Alligator mississippiensis: one gene and its partner. Each later gene encodes a partner of the first gene's protein in a complex. Links are inferred from orthologs where the notes say so. Each region holds a gene or a part of one and is shown on either strand. Other genes may lie near its edges. The genes, in order: SCAP and INSIG2.

Evidence for each region.
Region 2: the proteins of SCAP (region 1) and INSIG2 are in contact, whole or in part, in a cryo-EM structure (PDB 7ETW), measured with the Homo sapiens proteins. The link is inferred for Alligator mississippiensis from reciprocal best matches to the Homo sapiens genes SCAP and INSIG2. Residues at the interface, in NP_036367.2 of Homo sapiens: Pro200, Ser206, Val282, Ala283, Glu284, Ile286, Pro287, Thr290, Ile294, Ala297, Tyr298, Phe301, Lys305, Tyr351, Val354, Val355, Glu359, Thr409, Leu410, Val411, Ser638, Tyr639; in NP_001308258.1 of Homo sapiens: Phe41, Val45, Leu48, Leu49, Ile51, Val55, Leu57, Phe58, Pro59, Val62, Ser65, Ile66, Glu104, Trp105, Ser106, Met109, Arg110, Val112, Ala113, Val114, Val116, Gly117, His120, Gln132.

Annotation. Positions count from the first base shown.
Region 1 is NC_081828.1:217,457,819-217,469,357, forward strand, and holds the start of SCAP (sterol regulatory element-binding protein cleavage-activating protein), read right to left. Parts: upstream 4,304-11,539; 5' UTR 4,204-4,303; intron 4,172-4,203; exon of another isoform or gene 4,070-4,171; intron 1,592-4,069; exon of another isoform or gene 1,381-1,591; intron 1-1,380. UniProt on the Homo sapiens protein: Escort protein required for cholesterol as well as lipid homeostasis.
Region 2 is NC_081827.1:242,410,644-242,421,735, forward strand, and holds the start of INSIG2 (insulin-induced gene 2 protein), read left to right. Parts: upstream 1-6,511; 5' UTR 6,512-6,600; intron 6,601-6,955; exon of another isoform or gene 6,956-7,028; intron 7,029-11,092. UniProt on the Homo sapiens protein: Oxysterol-binding protein that mediates feedback control of cholesterol synthesis by controlling both endoplasmic reticulum to Golgi transport of SCAP and degradation of HMGCR.

The DNA of each region.
Region 1 (11,539 bases):
CTGAATGTGTTTGCCAGTGAAAGATGCAGGACACTGAAATGGGGAAACAAAGAGTAAAATGATCACAGGCCACAAGCCGAAGAGGCAAGAAGTTCACTATAAAGAACTTAACATGCAGCCCGAGCTTTCCTGGATTCATAGGATTTGCTGTTCTTCCAGGCTGTATCCCTTTATAGCATAAGCACTTTGCATGTCAAGAGCACTTAATCATTTGTAAAGTTCAACTCCCTCCATCAGGATGCCAACAAAAACACCAACATCAGGGCTGCTGATGTGCTAAAACCAATGTCGATGATGCTGACTAATCCAGTCTCTTAGTATTCCTCCCACCTGGCTGCACCCATCTGATCTTTCTGGTCTTCCCCTTTGATTACAAGCTCTTTGCTGCTGGCACTGGGTTTCTGGTTTTTTTATGGTGCATTTATACTGCTCCAAGCACAGAAGAGCCATGATCCAGGACTGGGGCTCCTATGTTATTTGTATTACCAAAGCACCAAAAAAGCCATTTTATAAAGTGAAAATCATCCTACCCTACAGACCGGCATGGACAGCCAGAGTTTAAGCAGCTTTCTTCCAAGAGACACAGCAAGCTAGCAGCGATCAGGAATAAGCCAAACAAATCCTGACCTCCACACATTCGGTAACATCTCTGCACCACAGCCACTTCCTTCTTCTTTAGCTTGTCCACTTTAGTTATTTGTCCTCAGCTACAGCCCCCCTTAGTTGCTCAGCCAAGCTTCATCTCTTCCAGTCTGAAGAGCAGTCATTCTTTCCAACCCCCCGGTTGAATGATTTACTTCCATGTCTGTGATGAGATTCTTACTGGACATATCCACATATGATTTAAATAATTCTCCCAACAGCTATCCTCAATACCAACTTCATTTGACAAATTTCATACACCTTGGTTTCAAGTAGTAGGAGGCTGTTTATGCAATCCTGAAACAGAAAACTGACTCTGTTCTGCTCTTCTATAGCTTTTAGTGGATCAAATTATTCAAGCTAGATTTCATAATGTAAACATATGATGCTGAAATTCAAACATTCAGATCAGAGCTAGAATCAGCCATTCAGGTGATTCCTCTCAGTCATGGGATGAATGAGAGGCCAACAGCAGCACAACAACCAGCAGTTTATACGTGCAGAATTAAAAAAAACCAGAAAAACTCCCCCACCAACCCTAAGCCACTTTTTTCTTTTTTTTTTTTTAAAGAAAGGAATAAACCAACTGATCCATTTGCTGAAACACCACAGCTCCTGTAATCCTAATCTTATGACATTAATTAAAATGTCTGTGGCAATACACTAATTTCAAGCACTGGGATCCCAGGACAAACAAAAGCAAGGTACAAAAGAGGAGCTTGTTTGTATTTTACGAACCGTCAGAAAACTGGAAGCTGCATCCAGAGATTTTTGGCAAAAGGCATTGGACACAACAGCTCCTTCTCTCCATGCTCCAAGTCCCAAATGCACAACTTCTCCCCCTTGTAACGGACAGAGAAGTCCAGCTCCCTCCCCACTGATTTCAGAAGCCGCCACCTGCTCTTTCAGAGCTGGAACGTTTGCTGGATTCACAACCCCATGGATTAGACTGCTAACCAGCATGAAAAAAAAAAAAAAAATACATGGTCCACCAGGTCCATCAGCCCACAGCAGCATCCACAGGACTTCCCCTCCTTCTCACACGTCCTCTTAGTGCCTATTTATTCCCCGTGTCTTCTGCACCCACGCTCTGCCCCCTGCTCTCCTTTTGCAAAAGGAGCAACAGCTCAGAGTCATAACACTACACCAGTCACTACCCCCTGCCTTCATCCGTGGGATGATCAGATGCTCTGTTCCCTATTTTTATTCCCTTCTTCTGCAGGCAATGGCTCCCCTACAGCCCCTCAGGCCACCCTATGCTTCCACAAGCCTCAAACAAGAAGTTTCTCCCAGCTGAATGTTTTGGGCTCTTCTACAGAGGTGAACAAGCAACCAGCCCTCTCTACTTCTCTTCCCACATCTAGCACTTGCCTCCAATAGTCTCAGTGTCCAGCTACAGGAGGGACAGAGATCCCCGTCTTCTGCAGGTCTTAAGCAGCTTCGGTCTCTGCAGGGTAGGTAAGGTTAGCTGAATGGTCCTCCCTTCCCTTTCCCCAGGCTGTTTAATGCTGCCACCCTCCTTAGTTACTATTTAACCCTTTCACCAGGCAAGGCCGCTTGGGACGCAGCACGCACCATGCCTGAGGGAGCAGTTCTTGCCTAGCAGAGCCTGATTCCCAGCCCACAACCAAGCATCTAAAACAAGCCCCTCAGGTGCACCAGCCTGCTCGACCGGAGCCCGAGCAAGACAAGCTCGGCCCAACACGCCTACACGGGGCCCCGTCACACCTGGATCAGAGGAAACCAGCCCTCTACTCACAGCTCAGGCTATACAGCTCGTTTCTGTCGGTCTGCAAGGTGCAAACCTACACGGCTCCCAGACTAACACAGACCTCTCCTTGGCAGTGACTTCTCCACCTCCCTGGCTAGGCCCAGCCATCTCCTAACTGGAAAAAGGAGGCAACAAATCCCCCTCCCCAAACTGCCGGGGCCAAGTGGCTTCTGCTTGACTGACGAGCAGGGTCAGGTAATTAGCATGATGATAACAGTAATAATCATAGTGATACCCATCATCAGATAAAGATACTAATGACAAACAAAGTAATGAGGCTATTGATACTAATAAAATAACAACATTAATACCCCCTCCCCCCCCGCCATCAATGGGCACTAATACCTTCCCCCACCAGGAAACAAAGGGCACTAATACCACCCTGCCTCCCCCGGGCATCAGTGGGTACAAATACCACCACCCCCAGGCAACAATGGGCACTAATACCCACCCACCCCTGGCATCAATGGGTACTAACACCACCCTCACCACCACCCCAAGGCAGCCATGGGCACTAATACCCACCCCCCCCCCAGCATTAATGGATACCAATATCCCACCCCCCAGGCATCAATGGGCATTAACCCCTGCCTCCCCCCAGGCATCAATGGGCACTAACCGCCCCCCCTGGCCAGGCATGAATGGACACTAACACCGACCCCCCCCCCCAGCATCAATGGATACCAATATCCCCCCCCCAATCAATGGGTACTAATACCCCACAACAATACCAATACAACTAATAAGCAGGGATCTGCTTATTTTCTCTGATTGGGGATTTGTTTTTCTATTTTTGGTTAAAAAAAAGTAACCCCAACTCCACGTTGTTCTGTGACTTTAAATGAAACGCTGCCAATATACAGATATACATATATAATATACAAGCATCTGTATGTACTGCAGAGGTACATGTATATCTATATATTGACGGCGTTTCGTTTAAAGTCACAGAACAACGTGGAGTTGGGGTTACTTTTCTTTTTGTTTTAAACCAAAAATGGGGGTGTTTGTTTGTTTTTTTTAAGTCATAGAAAGCCAGGATCCCTGCTAGTGAGATATTACTTGCGATACCAAGTGACAATATTAATAAGTAACGATACCAATCAATAACGGTATGAACGATACTAGTATGATACTGATTATGATACCAATAACTACCGTTACTCCCCCAAGCAAGGATACCTTACTATACTTCCACGAAAATCTTTAGTAAAAAGGTGAAAGATTTATGCGATCTGAAGAGAAACCAGAGTATACCAGAGAAACCTTATTATACTTACTGACTAATAAGGAACAATAACAATACACAGCAATATATCAATGATACTAGTAAGATATTAAACGTGACACCAACAATGGGACCAATCGCACTCGGGACACCAATAAATAACGGTATCAACGATGCCAGTAAGGTATCGATTGCGATACCAATAAGTAACGATACTTATTGACCGAGTAATCAGGAACAACAGCAATGGTTACTAATAAGTAACGATACCAATAAACAGCGATGATCCCAAGACGCGGCAATACCAATGATACAGGTAAGGTATTCATTGTGCCACCAATAACGGGACCAGTCGTAAAACTGATGTAAAGTCAGTCAGTGCCGGCACCAACGGCAGGGATGACACCCGCCCCGCCCCCGCTACTAACCATGGCACCGGGGGGGAGGGAGGGGGGCAACACCACCGCGGAGGCCACGACACGACCCGCGCTGCTAACGGCGCCCCGCCTGAGGAGAATGGGTCGGGGGTCCCGCCCCCCGGGGCCGGAAGTAGGGTCCGCACCTTCCGGCCGCGCCACCTTCCTGGCGCGCTCAGCCTCGCTCCGGCTCCCGGCCGGCTGCGGCTGCAGCTCCCTGCGCCCTCTGCCCTCTCACCCCGTGACGTCACGCCGCGCCCACGCATGGCCCCGCCCATCCAGCGCGTGGCCACGCCCCCGCCCGCCCGCCCGCCAGCCAGAGCGAGGCAACATGGCGGCGGGGGTGGGACGGCGTGGAGCAATATGGGGTGGGGAGTGGGGGCACATCTGGAGTGCTGTGTCCAGCTGTGACCCCCCCCCCCCCACTACAGAAAGGATGTGGACACATTGGAGAGTCCAGTGGAGGATAACAAAAATGGTGGTGGGGCTGGGGGACAGGACTGGTGAGGTGAGGCTGAGGGAAATGGGCTGATTTAGACTGCAGAAGGGAAGACTGAGGAGGATTGAATAGCAGCCTTCAGCTCCCTGCAGGGGGTTGCACAGAGGATGGAGCTGGGCTGTTCTCAGTGGGGGCAGATGACAGGACAAGGAGCAATGGGCTCAAGCTGCAGCAAGGGACGTTGAGGTTGGATATTAGGAAAAACTCTCACGAGGAGGGCGGTGATACACTGGAACCGGCTCCCCGGAGCAGCAGAGGAGTCTCCATCCTTGGAGGTTTTGAGGACAAGCCCGGGTGCGTTGAGGCTAACGTCTATGAGACGTGACCTCCCGAGGTCCCTTCAGCCCTCGTTGTCCCGGTCCACGATCTGCGCGACGTTATTTCTGCGCGGTGCCTGAGGGGGAGCTCCGGGGTGGGGGGGACGATCCTCTGGATGGTTAATCCGGCCACCCAGACGGGGTCGGTAAAGCAAGGGCACGCTGGAAACGATTATGGCATCGCCACGTGTGCGCTGGCAGCCGTTTCATCAAACCGTTCCTTATAAAATAAGCTAAAAATCCCTTGTAAAAACCCATCCTGCTCTCACAGATGAGGGTAAAGGGTGGTCAGATGCCCACGTCTCTCTGAGGATCGTTGCTGACGTGCCCGTGGTGAGGAGCATAATACTCAACCGCTAGGACCAGGATGATCGTGAAAGCCAGACAAGCAACTGGTGAACGAATCGTCCCGGGGTGCTTGGAGGGAGCGAGCCCTCGCTGACAGGTTCAGGTACCTTTGACCATTCGTGGAAGCACTTGGACCTCCTGCAGAAAAGCCAGGATCGGCGTGGAGGGGGAGAAACATTAACAATATTTACGCAATTTGGAAGCTTCCTCTCAGTGACCTCCAGTGGGATGGTGCTTCTAGGCAAACCTTTGCTGGCTGGATCAACCCCTGCAGCGCAGCACCAAGGCAACTGGGCTCCCGCTGCTGGGCTTCGGCAGCCGCTGGAGAGGACATGGAGCTGCCCGACGAGCTGTCACGATGCCGGAGAGGGAGAGGTGCTTTTAAAGCCAGGGTGGCAGCAAGACTGGCCCTTCCTAGACTTGCAGTTTCGGTGCCTTTGCAGCCCAATGACAGAGCAGGGTGGGAGCTGAGCCAACAGCACAGCAGATCATCTCACAGAGGCATCAGCTGCCCTAAGCCAGACTTGCTGGACCGCCCATGCTCCATGCCATGCTTGCGGGACTGTGTGGTCAGTGCAATACGTAGGAACCCCCTCCTTTGTCAGAGGCCAGGCCTGTGCTATCACTGCCTAGACTTGAGCTGTTGAAGATAGCTCAGGCTGGCCTCCAGGGACACAGCAGCCAGGGGCCCTGCAGGTGACATAGTCCTGGGCACACTGGCAAGGCTGAACAAGTGCTGGGAGAAGCAGAGACAGGCAAGGAGCAGCAGGGACAGACAAGAACGCTACACGCTGTTGCAACCGGCATCATCTGAATGCACACACAGACGTCACATACCTGCTAGCTTCGCTCTGGCACCTAGACACCCTCCCTGCACACCAGACTCCCGTCGTGCTAGGTGCTGCACAAAGCCATTTGCTCCCCCTGATGGTAGAGGAAGCTAGGGTCTGTTAGGGTCTCTGATCAGGCATGCCCAGCTAGGCCAAGCACCCGAGTTTCTCGCCTGCCCCTGATCCCTGGTTAATCCGACCACCCCAGTTCTCTGCAACTGAATGGCAGCTGAAGGCACCACTCACCCCTTTCAAGCACACCTGCAGCCCCAGGTCTGTTTTGCAAGCCTCATGGACGCTGCTATCTGATTCTCCTGGCTCCTGACTTGGCTTCAGCTTTCCCTGGCCCTGACCCTGAATCTGCCCTGGAACTTGGTACTGGCTCTCTGACCCCTGGTTTTGGATCTCAGCTCACGTCGCACTGTGCCTATTGGATCTCCCTTTTTCGCTCTCCTGGACCTTGGTCCCTGCTTTCTCCAACCTTCCAACCCAGACCCCAACCTGGCACTTGGGTAATGAATGCTCCCACCTGGTTGACCCCCAGGTTGCTCCTAGTGGCCCAGCTGCCTATGTCCCAGATGAACCCTCATGGGGCAGCTCCAAGGGACATTGCAGGTGTTCCCCACATGCAGCAGCTGCACCCGGGAGTCTGAGCAAGGGCAGGACACTGCAAAACCACGTTGTCCACATCAATTGCTGCAGGGCATTAACTTCCATTCATGACTGTAACAACCTCCTTGTGTGGCCTACGAGAGCCAGGTGCCCAAGGTTAGCTCTGGGTATGTGAATTACTCCCCCAGGTCCAGGCATTTGTGGAAGCGGGGCAGATTGTGCTGAAGCACAGGCTGACCTTTCCTCCAAGGCTGGGGCAGTCCTGCCAAGGGATGAGGTTACCATTGTGGCTTCCAGCCAGGCTGTGATAATAGGGAATTAATTGAAATGTTTCCGTGTGTCAAGCCCACACTCGGCACCTGCAAGCAGCCGCTTGTTGTAGGCCATGTCTGCTGTAGCAGAAACAGGATGAAAGCAACCATGTCATGGTGACTGGCTTGCTGTGACTTGCCAGGACTCAGTTCGGGACAGCACCCACCATGGAGCTGCCCAGCAACCTGTCACAATGCCAGAGGGAGAGATGCAAGATGCACTTTTCCTATGCCCACAGATTCAGCTTCTTCACAGCCTGAGGACAGAGCAGGGTCAGAGCTGAGCCAGCAGCACGTCAGAACATCTCACAGAGGTGTCAGCTGCCACAGGTGGGGGAGAAGCAAAACCCTGGCATCTGAAACCCTACACAAGCCATGCAGGGAATAAAAAAGGTATTCCCATGTCCAGTGGACACCTGAGAATAGGTAACCAGGGGGCGGTGGCACTGGGGGGGGGTGGGGAGGGACAGAGCAGGGGAAAGAGCAGAGAACAAAGCAGCAGCAGCAGCAAAGAGACTAGAAAAGGTCTGACCCCTGCTCTGATGACATCTCTCTCCACAGTGCTGCTTTTGGGGCACGTTTTTCAACCCCTTCACTGGAGCGTCAGCTGCATTACGTGATGCCCAGCCCCAACCTTGCTGTGGCCTGTTTACATTCGTTGCACCGGGACTTTTCCCAGGTAGAGGATGGGGTTTTCCTATAAGTTTGTCAATACTGTGTTTTAAATACCCCGCGGGGGTGGTCTCTGTCAGGTCCCAGTTGGAGCACAGTGTTGCCATGTCTGGTCCTGGGACTATGGCCCTTGCTGCACATTTTCCCAGGCCAAACACCATTGCTGGATTGGTGGGGGGTATCCAGAACCATTCCAGGAAGGACACATTGCTGCCAGGATGTAGACGTTCCCCTTCAAGCCTCAAATTTCTTCTCCCACTGTTCTGCTTTGCAAACAGCACTTTAGATAGATTTGGGTACTCTGAGATCACGGACTTCCTAACTGACTTCCTGCCCATTGGTCAGGCTGGATTCAATCTGACGAGGGGGCTGGATTCAATCTTACGAGGTTCCATCCAGCCCTAATGTCTATGAAATCTATGAATTGGACAAGCAGCCAAGCTTCTACAATATATGAAGAATTACAGTCATGACCTCCTCATGCCTTCAGCCCCCCTCTACATGGTAGCTTTAAACTGACCTGGGAAGTTAGTGACATGATTGGCCCTAAACCATGTCTCATGTATTTAAAACTTGCTGACACCCTTGCCTCGCTTTTGTGGCTGCCTCCCTGTTTCTGCAGGGTGGACAAGGTCCCTCAGCAGGGGGTGTCAAATTACTCTCCCAGACCTCTGTGTGGGCATCCCTAAAATGATCCGCTTCGCCCGCATGCACGTCAAACAGGCATTCTCCTCCCTGCTGAGGTTTTCCTAGAAGGCAGTCTTGCAAGCTAGGTGAGGTGGCAGACTGGATGTGGAGCAGGGTTGCCAACTGTCCATAAATATACAGACAACCCATAAGCAGTAGGGGGAAAAACAAACCCTTGATGCACAAAAATAATGGGAACTGTCTCTAAAAAACAGAGAATCAGTGAGCTTGATGGACAGACAGAGCAGAGCAGTGCCACCTAGCATCGGAGTGGGAGCATGGCACCCTGCAGAGAGCACTTTCCAGGGCTTTGTGGTTCCCCCCTTCTCTACTCCCCATCCATGTGCTGCCACTGCATTCCCCCACCCCTTATGCCTGCCTCTAATAGCTGCTTAGCCAGCATGGAGCTGTAGGGTTGGGAGAAGGGAAAGGCGGCAGATAGAGGTCTGTGCTAGGACAGGTGGTGCAGGGCCGGTCGGGGTAAGGCTGTGGGGTGAGATGGGAGTGTGGTCAAGGGTGTCAGTGTGTGAGAGGTGAATAGGGGACCTTGGGATGGGTGTAAAAACATTGCTGCAGTCAAGCAGGGTCACCAACCCAAGACATTTTTTTTTACTAATGATCTGCAAACAATTTTTATTATGGTGGGTGTTAACCCCTAAATATGAGCCCGGCCCTTGTCCCGGGCCTGGCAGAAGGATTATGCAAGACATCTGTCAGTAAAAACACGTCAGTAAAAAAAGTTCTGTCATCAGTAAAAAGTTTGCAGGTTGTCAGTAAACAAAAAAAAAATCTGGAATTGGCAACCCTGACGTGGAGACGCAACAGAAGGCTCCTGGAGGTTGCTTTGTGGCTACAATCCAGCCAGGCCTGTTTTAGATGACTTAGATGAAACCAGGTTGGTTGCAAGAACGTGATTGCACTTTGCCATGGAGATTGGGGGAGCCTGGACGTTCCTCCTGTCAATACACGGAGCATAGAAAAGCAAGCTGCACAGTGGTGGAGGCTCTTCTGCAAAACTACTAGCATGCTAGAAACACTGTTGCTTCCCCACTGGATGCTGCTTCTGGCCAAGCCCGTGTTGTCACTTCTTGCCCCAGGCTCCAGGCCATTTTCACCTGTCCTTTTGAAGAGGAGCTGCCAGTGCTCACTGCCTCTCAGATTTGGCTGCAGAGAGGATCTCCCATTTCTATCCAGGCATCAGGACTTGGGGGTTACAGCGGACAATAAGATAGTTATGAGCCAGCAGCGTGCCCTTGTTGCCAAAGGGGCTAACAGCATCCTGGGCTGCATTAGTAGGAGCGTTACTAGCAGATTGGGGGAAATGATTCTTCCCCTCTATTCTGCACTGATGAGGCCACATCTGGAGTCTTGTGTCCTGTTCTGGGCCCCCCACTACAGAACGGATGTGGACAAGTTGGAGAGAGTCCAGTGGAGGGCAATGAAAATGGTTCAAGGGCTGGGGGACAGGACTGGTGAGGAGAGGCTGAGGGAACTGGGCTGATTTAATCTGCAGAGGAGAAGACCGAGGGGGATTGAATAGCAGCCTTCACCTCCCTGCAGGGGGGTGCAAAGAGGATGGAGCTGGGCTGGTCTCAGTGGGGGCAGATGACAGGACAAGGAGCAATGGGCTCAAGCTGCAGCAAGGGAAGTTGAGGTTGGATATTAGGAAAAACTCTCTCTCTAGGAGGGTGGTGAAGCACTGGAATGGGTTAAACAGAGAGGTGGTGGGATCTCTGTCCTTGGGGGTGTTTAAGACCTGGATAGACATCCTTAGCTGGGATGATGTAGCTGGGGCTGGTCCTGCTTGGAGCAGGGGGTTGGACTGGATGTGACCTCCTGAGGTCCCTTCCAGCCCTCATTTTCTATGATCAGCTCATTGGCATAGTGCCCTGGATGCCCCCTTCTCGTTGCAATGATCACCCTCAAACACTGCGTGCCTCCCTGCAGCTCACAGGTAAGAAGCAAGATGGGCCTCAAAACCCTCCATCAAGTCCTGAACTTTCCAAGAATCCCAGCCCAGGGCCAGTTTCCCCCAACCGGCATTGCAGGGAGCAGCCTTGTGTTCCAGGAGGCCCTTGGACATCAGGAACTGTCTGCAAAACTGTCATTTCTAGAGGGGAAGCAATGGGGACCTGCTCCTGCGCCTGCCCCCTAGATGCTCTTCCTGCCCTGCAGGAGATATGTGGGCCTCACTGGAGCACTGATCACTGGAGGCCTCACCACAAACCTGACCGATGCATGAACTCCGCACAGAAACAAAACTTGGAGGACTCACATGCCAAGAGCTGGGAAGCAGAGCTGAGGGTACAAGGTGGGATAGTCCAGTGGCAGGATGATGAGGCTGGAACAGGAACACCCAGGTCAGGATGTGAAACAAGCCCCGGTAAAGGACGGTTCGAGATCTTCAAGATGCAGATGGAATAATTTTGTTTGGAGCGCTGTATAAAAGGAGAACTGGAAAGCAATGGCAGCTTGCGTGGTGGTGTGCCGACTACCTGGTCACACGAACAGATGTCTCGGCTCCTGGTCTGATGCGCTTGTTAAGTCAAAAACGTGTTAGGGCTGTGCTTGTAGACAATAAACGTGAACGAATCTTTGCCACTGAAGCGAGCCTGTGGTCATCCTTTAAGACAAGGTTCATGTTGGGATCTTCTGGCTGCCACTTTGCTGGCACTGCAGTTCCTGAGACTTCAACACTGGGAGCACATCAGTAGCACCTGACGAGGGCAGCAGCAATGACACAATGATAACGTCAGAGGACAGGATAGTGCTGCACCTGGGTGCCACACATAGCAATGGGCAGCTGGAGAGCACGAAGAAGCATCATGTACCAGCTCTCAGCAGCCACGACAACCTAGAAGACCGATGCTCCCATGTAAAAAGGTGGAGACAAGCCCCCAAGGGGGAATTGTCTGGGTAGAGACACACTGGGGAGGGGAAGGGCAGAGGAAGATGCACCCAGCCACACATCACCTATCATTTTATCACTGGTAAAATGCAGAGGTTTTCCAAGGGAGCTAAGCGCTAGACCACACTTCGGTGGTGGGTTCACCTGGTGTCCAGCCATAAAGGAACATGGCAACGACTGCACAGCTCACAGCGAGGCCTCGTTTGGGACAGGAAGTGAAGATGACATCGTCCAATCACATTGCAGGGGGGACGTACAAAGGCAGAACAGGATGACCAGGCTTGAGATTTGGTTAGCC
Region 2 (11,092 bases), on another chromosome or scaffold:
GGCAGCAGGCCTTTGAGATGCCTTGGATGGAGGAATGGTGATTGTTGAATTTCTGATGGAACTCAATCAGAGATTGCAGGTTTTCAGTCCAAATGATGAAGATGTCATTGATATATCTTAAGTATAGCAAGGGTTTGATGGTGCAGTTCTTGAAGAAGTCTTCTTCCAGCTGGCTCATAAAAAGGTTGGCATACTGCAGGGCCATTTTGGTGCCCATAGCTGTTCCCATCGTCTGGAGGAAGTGTTGGTTATTAAAAGTGAAATTGTTGTGTGCGAGGATGAAGCGTATAAGGTCAGTAATATCTTTGGGTCTGTATTCTGAGTTGTAATCTTGTTTCTGTAGATATGTAAGGCAGGCTTGGATGCCATCCTGGTGTGGGATGTTGGTATATAGGCTGGTATGGTGGCTAGGAGGGTGTTGCTGGGAAGGTGGTCTATGTTTTTAAGTTTCTGTAGAAAGTCTGTAGTGTCTTGGACAAAACTTGCTCCATGGGTGATGAGCGGTTTTAGGACTGATTCAACGAAACCTGATATTTCTTCAGTTAGGGTCCCATGGTTGGATATGATAGGTCTGCCGGGGTTCCCTTGTTTGTGGATTTTAGGGAGCATGTAAAAATTCCCCAGGTTAGGTAGTGGGGGGATCAAGGTCTGTAGTTTTTTCTTGTAATCCTGTTGGAAATGATTTGATGGTATTGGTATTACAGGACTACAATGGTATAACAGGACTACAAGAAAAACTTGTAGTATGGTATAACAGGACTATGACGCATTATAACCTGCCTGACAGCTGACTTCCCAGGTACTTCTCCACTCTTCAGCCCCCTTCTCTCCCCCACCCCCACCCCCACCCAGCCTGTCTCTCACCCATTGATTCCTCAATCTAAATCTTCACTGACTGCCTGTCTTGTATGCAGACCAGCCCAGCCTCTAGCTTCTTTACTTTTCATTCCACCCAGGAAGAGCACACACCAACTGCTAACACTTCCTTAGCCTGACGAAGGGTTATTGAACCCAAAAACTTGCTTAAATATTATTCTCCAATTATTTAGCTGGTCTAATAAAAGATATCAGATTCACCCAAAGAACCTTGTCTGATAACAGTAGACGCATTTCTGGTGCTGCATCTAATCTGTTCCAATACTTGTTCTTTGTAGCACTGTGTCTTGAGAAGCCAGTCTCACTCATATAGGTCATGGCAAAGGGCATGAGATGTTTCACAGCTTGATTTGCAATTTCAGTATACTGATCGGTAAGGAATGCTAATTTTTGTATCCAAAAAATGTCATGAATTCTGGACAAGATATCAAATGATGGTCAGAAAAAAAGGTGCATCTCTTTTGACAATACATAAATGTGAAGAAGCACTATTCCATGGGATAGCCCTCAAACCTCAGTGTGTAGCAAAAGACTCATGTGAACACTGCCCATGACACAAAACAGAAAATATCTGGGAGTGAAGAGGCCTGGCTTTAATATAATTTTTCACTGTCCCATCAAGCACAATTTTAAGCTCTCTTGGCATACCCTTTCTAGCAAGAGCAAGTCCATGTAGACTACAATGTCTGCTTTCCATGAGAGGCAACATTTTTAATGCACGCTACCCACACCCTTGACTTTTTCCATCATGACTTTTGCACTGTTGATACAAACATCTGTACGAAGTTCCCAGTTAATCATATTCTTTTGCATAAAACAATTAAGGATATTGAATATAGCCTTGCCTTTTGTACTTGTTTTAAGCAGGCAGCACAACAGCAGGTCCGCATGTAGAAGATTAAAAAGTATAGCACACGATTATGAGCAAGATAGCCAATCCTTCTTCTTTGGTAGATTCATCTAGTTGAATAAAAAACCCAACAGGACTATTTTTTATACAACTACCTCTGCTTGCCAGTGATCAGAAAGATCTTTGATGTGGTGAGAAACTGTATGGTCTGCATGAGGAATAATAGCAATGAGCTTTCTTAATTTTTTCACCCATTGTGCAAGTTAAAATTCCTTTTGTTCATGGCTTCCCTAAATTTTCAGCAATCATATGCACATCATCCACCTTAGCAATTAAAGAACTCACTTACAGGCTTGACAGTACTGTGCTTGCCAGCACCACAACTGAAAGAGATCTGGGGGTCATAATAGACCACAGAATGAACATGAGCCACCAGTACAATGCCATAGCTGGCAGAACTAATCAAACACAGGCGTGCATCTACTGATGCATCTGAAACAAGACTAAGGATGTCATCCTCCCGCTCTACTCAGCTTTGGTGAAACGGCAGCTGAAGTTCTGCATCCAATTTTGGGTGCCGCACTTCAGGAAGGATGTGGAGAAGCTTGAAAGAGTCCAAAGAAGGGCCACGCGCATGATTAGAGGTCTGGAGAGCAGGTCATATGAAGAGAAGCTGAAAGACATGGGACTGCTAAGCCTGGAGAAAAGAAGACTTAGAGAGGACGTGGTGGCAGCCTGTAAGTATATAAGGGGCATACAGCAGGGTCTGGGGAAGCATCTGTTCACCAAGGCACCCCAAGGGAAGACAAGAAACAATGAACACAAACTGATTGAGGATTGCTTCAGATTGGAGATAAGTAAAAAATTCTTTATGACCAGAGTGCCATGGGTCAGGAACAAACTCCCTCCAGAGGTGGTACAGACACCTACCCTGGAGATCTCTAAAAACGTGTGGACGCACACCTTGCTGGGGTCATCTGACCCCAGTTGTCGTCTTCCCTGCCCTAGTGCAGGGGGGCTGGACCTGATGATCTCGTGAGGTCCCTTCCAGCCCCTAACATCTATGAATTTATGAATCCTTCAAGAGCATTTCTGTTGTCTTAACAACAAAATAACATTAGGTAGTGATTTTTTAATAAAATTGTTACATTTCCTTTTAAAATAATCACCATGCATGTCTTTAACTTGTGGGTGTTTTGCCTCCAGAAGCTTTTGTAACTTTGCTGGATTCAGGCTGCTGTCAGGCAAAACTTGTCCACACTCAACACACTGTCCATCTGTCTTGTTTTTATCACCAGTCCAAGTAAAACCATAGTTAATGTAGCTTGCATGGTACTTATGTTTTGGTTTTTGATTCATTGCTCACTGGATAAAGAGCTTGTGACTGATTTGATATGCTGGCACATATAACAATAGAAGCACTGGTAATTACTTCCTGTTGTATTGAAATCTGGCATTTTTCCTGACTACTTTTCTTAACGTTGCCTGTTTTCAGTCACCAATCCATACTTTTTCTTGGTAAATCAAAAATATAAAATATTAAGAGACAGTTCAACACTGCTCTGACATCAAGGCACTTGTCAACTGACTGATTGAAATACGACGACGCAGAGACAGAATAATCACATTGGAACACCAGGCCTACATTGCTGCCAGATTTCGATCATGTACCTCTGTTTGTAAACTGTCCATCAAAACAAGGCGGGCAAATCTCATATCGTATTATTGTCCTATGAATAAAACATATGGCATGGATCGTCTCAGCAGAAAGGGTTAGAAAGACTGAGTTAATGTTTTTTTATCAATAAGTCACCATTGGCGGTGCGTAGAAGGTGCATGAGGGTACACGTGCACCCCCCTGAGATTGGCTGCTGCTGATGGCGTCTGCGGGGTAGCCACTCACCATCCAGCCCCCACTGCCGACGCTGCCGGCGGCGTCTGCGGGTGGTCACCAATAGCCACCCCCCCACCTCACCGCCGCGGCCACCTGCCAGGGTCCCCATTCAGCCTGCCGTCACTGCTGACATCACTGTGGCTGCCTGCAGGAGGTCCCCACTCGCCACCGCCGCTGACACCGCCACCTGTGGGCGATCACCGTGCCTCCCCCAGCCTCAGGAGGCACGAGGTGGTCATGTAAGTGAAACACAAGAGTCAAATTGCAAAATTTCAAAAAATAATTAACAATAAGTATATTTTACAAACTTGTCTGCTATTACCAATTTTTTTCCATGGAGCCCCCAAGACCTCCTCCTGGAACCCCAGGTAGAACACAATTTGAAAACCACTGATCGAAAACACTGGCCTCTCTCTTGCATCTAATCTCATTTGAGTCAATGCAACTGGGTTTAAGAGAAATCACTGGTGCTGCAGTGGATGTAAAGAGCTTGTGTGTGTGCATGTGTGTGTGTGTTTAGCTATTCACATGATCAGGGCATTTAGTGCTTATGTTATGATTTATTTGCACTTTTATTACAGCAGTTCTTCAGGATCATTTCTTTGCTGCTTTATGTTTTAGTGTTATTCATTCTTTACATAATCATTTCTCTTCTCACCCGTGTTGTTACTTCATGGTGGTTTCCTCATTCCCGTAGTTCTCAAACTTTTTAGACTCAAGGTATCTCTCATTCTGCTCTAGGCAGCCCTCAGAAAACACCAGCTCTTACTTTTTACCCAAGTTTTTGACTATGGAAAAATAACAGAATAATTGTTTTGTGGCAAAGAACTCAGAAAGCCCACAGCAAGTCAGAATCTTTTCAACACTATGGATGCCTATTTGAAATCTCTGGGTTTATCGTGTGAATCACATCTGCACACCTAAGGGTGCTAACGTTGCATGGCACCCCACAGCACCCTTGAAAAGATCCAGGAGCAGATTACAGGGAGGCGCAATGGCAGTCACTCCCCACCCTCCTTTAATTCCTGGTCTACCCAAAGTTTAAAATCAACTGCCTGGCAGAGGCTGCAGCATCTCTATTCAGGCAGCAGTGAAGGCATCACTTATCTTCATGCCTCATTATAATCTACCTGATTCCTTCTAAACTTTTCATACCACAGGTGTTAAACAACTTCCTTTCCTTTGTAATGGCCCTTATGATCAAATAATTGAACTATCTTCCTTTTGCAATTCCACTACCTACTAGCTGCTCCTGGTAATGTAGTTCCTATTTCAGAGGCCTGCTGACTGTCTTTAGCTAAAAACATTAACTTAGGCATGAAAATACATTTCAGTGAAGTATTGGTTGCACTGTCATGATGTTCAAGAAGACTAGATTTTGTTTTAGGAAGCTGAAAGAGATCTGTACATATATTTCTAGTGACTACAGGACTAACGAAACACACTCGATCTCTTTCTTTTTTGCCTAGTTTGTTGTGATGTTTTTACGTGATCAGAGCCGTCCCTTGGGGGGGGGGGTGCAAATCAGGACCACCGCCCCGGACCCCATACTTTGGGGGGCCCTGCAGATAGTGCCATTGGCATGTGCTGAGGGCACCATCACGCTGCTCCGGCCACCCCCCCACCCCTGCTCCAGCCGCTCCCAACTCCCTCTCCCCACCGCTCGCCAACCCCTCCACCGCCATGTCCCCCCGCACAGGCTGATATGCCCTGGGCCCTGCACACGCCTAAGATTGGCTCTGTACACGATATACAACACAGCGAATTCATACGCGTCCCAATACGCATGTATTTGTTTTTGCTTTGATCTTCAGCTGAATAATATAGCTCTAGGCCTCTTGTAAAGCTTCTAGTTTTTATGTACCTTAAAAAAAGCGCGTGCTGCGTTCACAGCCAGATCTAGACTTTGAAAAGGTGGGGTGCCCAGGGTGAGGTGCATCGTCACCTGTTAAACAAAACACATTTTTCCTGAAGTTAAAAAAGAAACTAGCTTTTCCAATACACTGGGAACCTAGGGCTGTATGATTCAGTTTCAGGTTAGAGCAGAAACAAATGCAAGGAATTGAAAATAGCCCGCAGGGCTGTGAAATAGGAGCTTCATTACCAGGAGCAGCAAAAACAGGGCAGAGCGGCGGAGGAAAGGCTGGCTTGACCGGGGCAGGCAAGGGTCTTTGGGTAACGTGCATATAGAAAGAGACTCAAAGACCCTTGCCTGCCGATGTCCTTGGGCCAACCAAAAACCTAGCTTGCTGGGTGCGTTCAAAGACAGTTCAAAAGAAGAGAGGGTCCTTAACCCCAGAGGATGAAGACCTCAGATTCAATGAGCCATGATGTCAGGCGACTCCTCAGCGCCGCCCCACCACAAACACTGCTGCCAGGCAGTGGGGGGTTTAAACTTTGGCTGCAGCAGGCACCAAAAGGGAGACCTGACTTTATTTCTGGCTCATTGTCAGGGACCAGATTCCTTCTCCCCCCGGCTGCACTACATGTACTAATGTCCTGCAGCGCCTGCACCCCTTCCTCACACCCCTGGGAGGCCCTGCAGGAGAAGCACCGTGTGAACAAGGCTTCACCCTCTTGCAGGGGGGGACAAAAGCATCCCTCCTTTCCTGCATTTTCAAAAAACCTCAGATCTACCCAAAAAAACTGCCCTGTGCACCACTCCCCCGAAGCAGCTGCTCCCCCCCTCCCCCTCCCCCTTCTCCTTCTCCTTCTCCTTCTCCTTCTCCTTCTCCTTCCAATCCGCCCCTCCCACGTGCACCACTCGACTGCAGCGGAAGCGCAGCTGCCCCGACCTCCCCAGCTCCCCTCTGCCGGCCGGAAGTCCCTCCGCCCCGACTTCCCTCCCTCCCTCTTCCCAGGCAACCGGCCGGAAGTCCCTCCGCCCCGAATCCCCCTCCCTCCGGCCGGCCGGAAGTCCCTCCGCCCCGAGTCAGTTGCAGCGGGTTGAGGCGGGGGAGGGAGAAGATGGCGGAGCAGGGTGAGCGGCGGCGGCGCGGGGGCTTTGGGGGGTGGGGGATGATGCTGAGCGTGGACGGCATCGCCTGTCCGCCGGGGGGAGGCGCCCGGGCCTTGGACACGGTGTCAGGGGCGAGGCTGGGGCAGCCCTTGGCTGAGGGGCCTCCAGCTGGTGGGGGGTCTCAGGCCTGTCCCAGCTCTGGGGAGAAGCCCCCTGCGATGTGGGGCCCTGAGGTGGCCTCGCTGGGGCCCATTCTGCTCCCTCGGCTTTTGAGGGTCCCCCCCGGCCTCGCCTCCTCGCTTGAGGGACACCATCAATTTGGGGAGTCATTCGCGTGGGAGCTGGCGCCAAGTTACCCTCCTTTTGGCAGATGTCAAGCCCCCGCACCGCTCGGCCGTCCCGTGCCACTCGTGCTGGAGGTTGCCCACCCCTGTGCCAAGCGATTGGAGGTGCTCGTGAGGGTGGATGCCGTGACGCGCGGTGTTTGTAAGCCATCCATGGTGGCAGTTAAGTTAATTTGCGCGGCGTGGAGCATCTTGCCTGGTCACGTGTGCATGCCCTCGTGCAAAAGTTTGCGTTGAAGTAGCACGTCGCGGAAAGGATGAAGTGTGGCGAAAGCTGTCTCCTCACAGGCGTTGTCTCTGTCGCTTTCTGCTAGCGCCGTGGCGACGCGTCGGGGGTGCACGTGCACCCTGACTGGCCACGCTCCCCGCTTAGGTGATGGGGAGGGGGGCCTGCAGGGAGATTGGCCCCGGGGGGGACAGCCCCCAGTTGGTGACTGGTCCCTAGGGGGGGCACGTGCCCCCCCCCCCCACCCCTGACTAAGGTGGCTTTGAATTTCCATTTTCAAAAGAAGAAAGCTCAACGGTTCAACCATATTGTAGGTTCAGCATTCAACCTGTGATAGCCCAGTTTAGACAGGAATAGAAATTTGGGATGAAATGTAACAAGACTTCAATTATCCTGTGTGTGTGATACCTTCATACTTCCTATTCCCAAAGATGTTGTTCATAATTGACTCAAAAGATCTTGATCATGTCTCTCTTATTAGAGGAGGCTAAGTGATAATGCAGTCTGTATACATCGGACCTATGTGAGGATCGTGGTGCAAACCCTGAAAGGTACCGAGTTGGTTGTTAACTCTTCTTTACAGGTGGAGGAGCTGAGGAGCAGAAGTAAGGTGACTCACTATGAAGTGCTACAAAAAGTCAGCGTAGGATTAGAATTAATGAATCTCGGGGGCGTATTCTCCTGCTTAAACAATACACTGTGGTAGTAGCTCAAGAAAAGATGCTGGCTTTTACAAGCACATTCACAATGTGTATTGCTGCATTTGCACTAGAAATTTCATTAATCAGAGCAGTTAGATAAAATTATTTGAGCTTGGTATAGAGCAGAGGTTCTCAACCTGTGGTCTGTGGACCACCGCTGGTCCGTGAGCTCCATTCGGGTGGTCTGCAGAAAGGTTGTGGAACAATTGAGAATATCTGTACTTGGCCCTGCACTTGATTTATTTTTTCTGACGACAGAGATTAAGTCGTCCGCTGATAGCCTCAGCACTTTTCAAGTGGTCTGTGAAAAGAAAAGTTTGAGAACCACTGGTTTAGAGTTTGCTTTGTTAGTAGCATGATTACAGGTGAATTATAGCTGTCAAGTAACTATAACTACAAACTGCTATCCCTTTCATCTCATGCTTTCTGTTGTACTCTTTAAGTTGTGTAGCAATGTCACAGTCTGATTTGGAGGTCCCACAGCTGTTTTGAGGTTGAGTGACTTATTCCACTAATCTAATTTGACACAGGTCACTTGCCACTCTCCCTGTCTTTCATTTTACTTGATTCTCAATTTCCCTGTCTTGTTCTTCTGTCTCCCCCTCTTTGAGGGCAAGCATGATGTGAAATTACAATGGCAGCAATGAAGATAAACTTCCACTTTCTTATTTAAAGGAAAAAGTCTCTTAATGCAATGAAGTGCTGATGCAGTGCTGTTGAAACCAAAAATGTAAGACAGGTTTATTATCTTTCATATCATGCCAGTGATACATAATTAATTAAGAGGATAGCACAGTATCAACAGCAGAGACATGAGTCCTAGGTTAGGGCTGGGCTTTGCTAAGTGAGCTGTCTGACCAGAAAATCCAGGTAAAGTATAAGAGAAAATATCTACGAGAAGCTTATTTTCTATAAACTAGAATATGCCTTGTCTGATTCTCATTCAGTTAACAAGTCACATTAGCAATGAGATCTGTTAATATTCTGATCTGGTTATGTTTTAAACTCATTTAGCACTGTTGGAAATAACACAAAAATTAGGGTGACAACAAATCTCAAGCACTCCTAATAATAGTAACATTGAAAGATGTTCTAAAGAACTGCCACATGAAGTTGGCACATGAACTGCCACATGAAATTGCATGTCCAGTACCAGGTATTTTTAATACATCTTTACAGTTGAAGTAATACAGCAACTGTAGCATGGCAAATATGGTAACTGTTAAGAGAAGAAAGTTATTTTGGATGGTACCTATTGTTAAGAGCAGAGACTTATTTTGGAACTACTGGTCCATTGGCTCAACCTTAATTATATGCTAGGCTTCTGAGCAAATTGTGATTGGAAAAAAATAACTAAAGACTTGGGGATCACATCTGGGCACCCTCCAGCCTGAGTAGCCAGGTACCCATTTACAGCTGGGGACAGTCTTTGGTGAGTCTCAAACTCACATCTCTAGAGCTGTAGCAAAATGCTAAAATTGCTCAGAAACTGTTTCCCTCTGCTAGAGATAAGAAAGCATAAGTGGTGTAAGACAGGGCAATTCATGTGAAATACTGTGTTAAATACCAATTACCTGTGGGCAGGAAAGATGAACACTCACTCAACTGCATTCAGAAAAGTCTTCTAGCATGGTCAGTAGAGAACATTGAGCTTGTTTCTGAGTGGAGACTAAAAGACCTTTGCTGTTTTAGCCTACAAAAATAGGGATGAGAGAGGTATTACTGTGGTCTATAAATAGGGACCTACCAAATTGTGTGATTTTTGTGGAAGCTGTGAAATTGAGTAGGGTCCACAAAACATAGTGGGCTCTGCAATTTTGGTTGCCTCATTGCCATCCTCCCTGTCCCAAACTTACCGATAAGCAGAGAAAAGGGTGGGAAGCCCCACAGTCTTGGAGCATGAGGGTGGAGGGGCAAGAGTGGAGGTAGCAGGGAGGGGAGGAAGGGCACAGCTGCTCACAGCAAGAGGTGAGGATGCTGCACAAACAGCTGCACCAGGATCCCAGGTCAGCTATGGCAGGCAGCCAGGAGACTGCATTGTGGTCCACAGAGCCCTGGCCTAGGTTGTTGTGCAGGGCTCTACTGACCCCAGTGCAGCCCCACAGCTGCCTGCCAGAGCCAGTCCAGGACCCTGGTGCAGCCCCTTGGCAGCATCCACCCTTGGGGGTGGCCCAAAACCGCAGTTTAATAACTCTGTTTAAGCCTGGGGAAACCATTAATCCACATGTAATAATATGTGAATGAATGGCTTCCTCGAGCTTTATTAGGGTAATTAAGATGCAGTTTTGGGCTATCTGGCAATCTGTGGGGAGGGGCAGGACTGCTGGGGCCCCTTGGCCAATCAGAGGTGTGTGGCAGGACACTTGGTGTGCCTGCCACTTTAAGAGGTGAGGTAGTCTGCTGAGACACTTGCAGGTGGGGTCACCTCTAATTATAAATCAGCTGACCCAGGGACTGGCAGGTGTGGCTAGGCCTAAGCCACAGGTTCACCTGCTTGCAAGGGAGATCCCTGATTGGAAGAGGGCTGGGCTTAGACTGGGTATAGGCCCAGAGCCTGGAGGCAGGGTTGGGAATAACATCTTGGGAGTTGGTGAAGGAACATCACCCAGCAGGAAGGTTGCAGCTCCTGAATTCTAGCTGGGTGAGTGTAGTGAGCATGGGGGCCTATTGAGAGGCCTGGATGAGCCCAGAGAAGGAAAGGGGCTGCGAAGAGGGACCTGTTGAGGGCTCCGGGTGAGCTCAGAGAGAGAGCAAATGATCTATGGAGGAGAGAGGGCTGGCAGCTGCAGGACTGACCCTGGGAACCTTGACTGGTCCAAGCTGGGGCCAGGGCCCAGGAAGGGCTGACGGGTGAAATAGCCCACTGCAAGAGACTACAAGAACTGGAAGATTGGAGTCTTGACTGGCCTGGAGGCAGGGCCAGGGCCTAGGAGAGGCTAGAAAGTCCCTGTGGGGGGTAGGGGGCAGGAGGGGCACAGCCAAGAGGGAGGGGTCAAGCAGCAGGTAGCCCAGGATGATGATGGATGGTGCTAGGTTATCTGAAAAGGAGGGATCATTGAGAACATGGGTCCAAGAATGAGCTGGGACCAGAGATAGAGCCAGGGCCAGGGGACCTGGTAGTTCACAGCCCAGGAGAGGGTAGGACATCAAGGGGAAGCTCAGAGAAGGATAAGCAAGATCAAATAGGCCTGAAGACCTGTCCTGGGTAAGATCTGAAACTACACCTTACTGGAGCTGGTTAG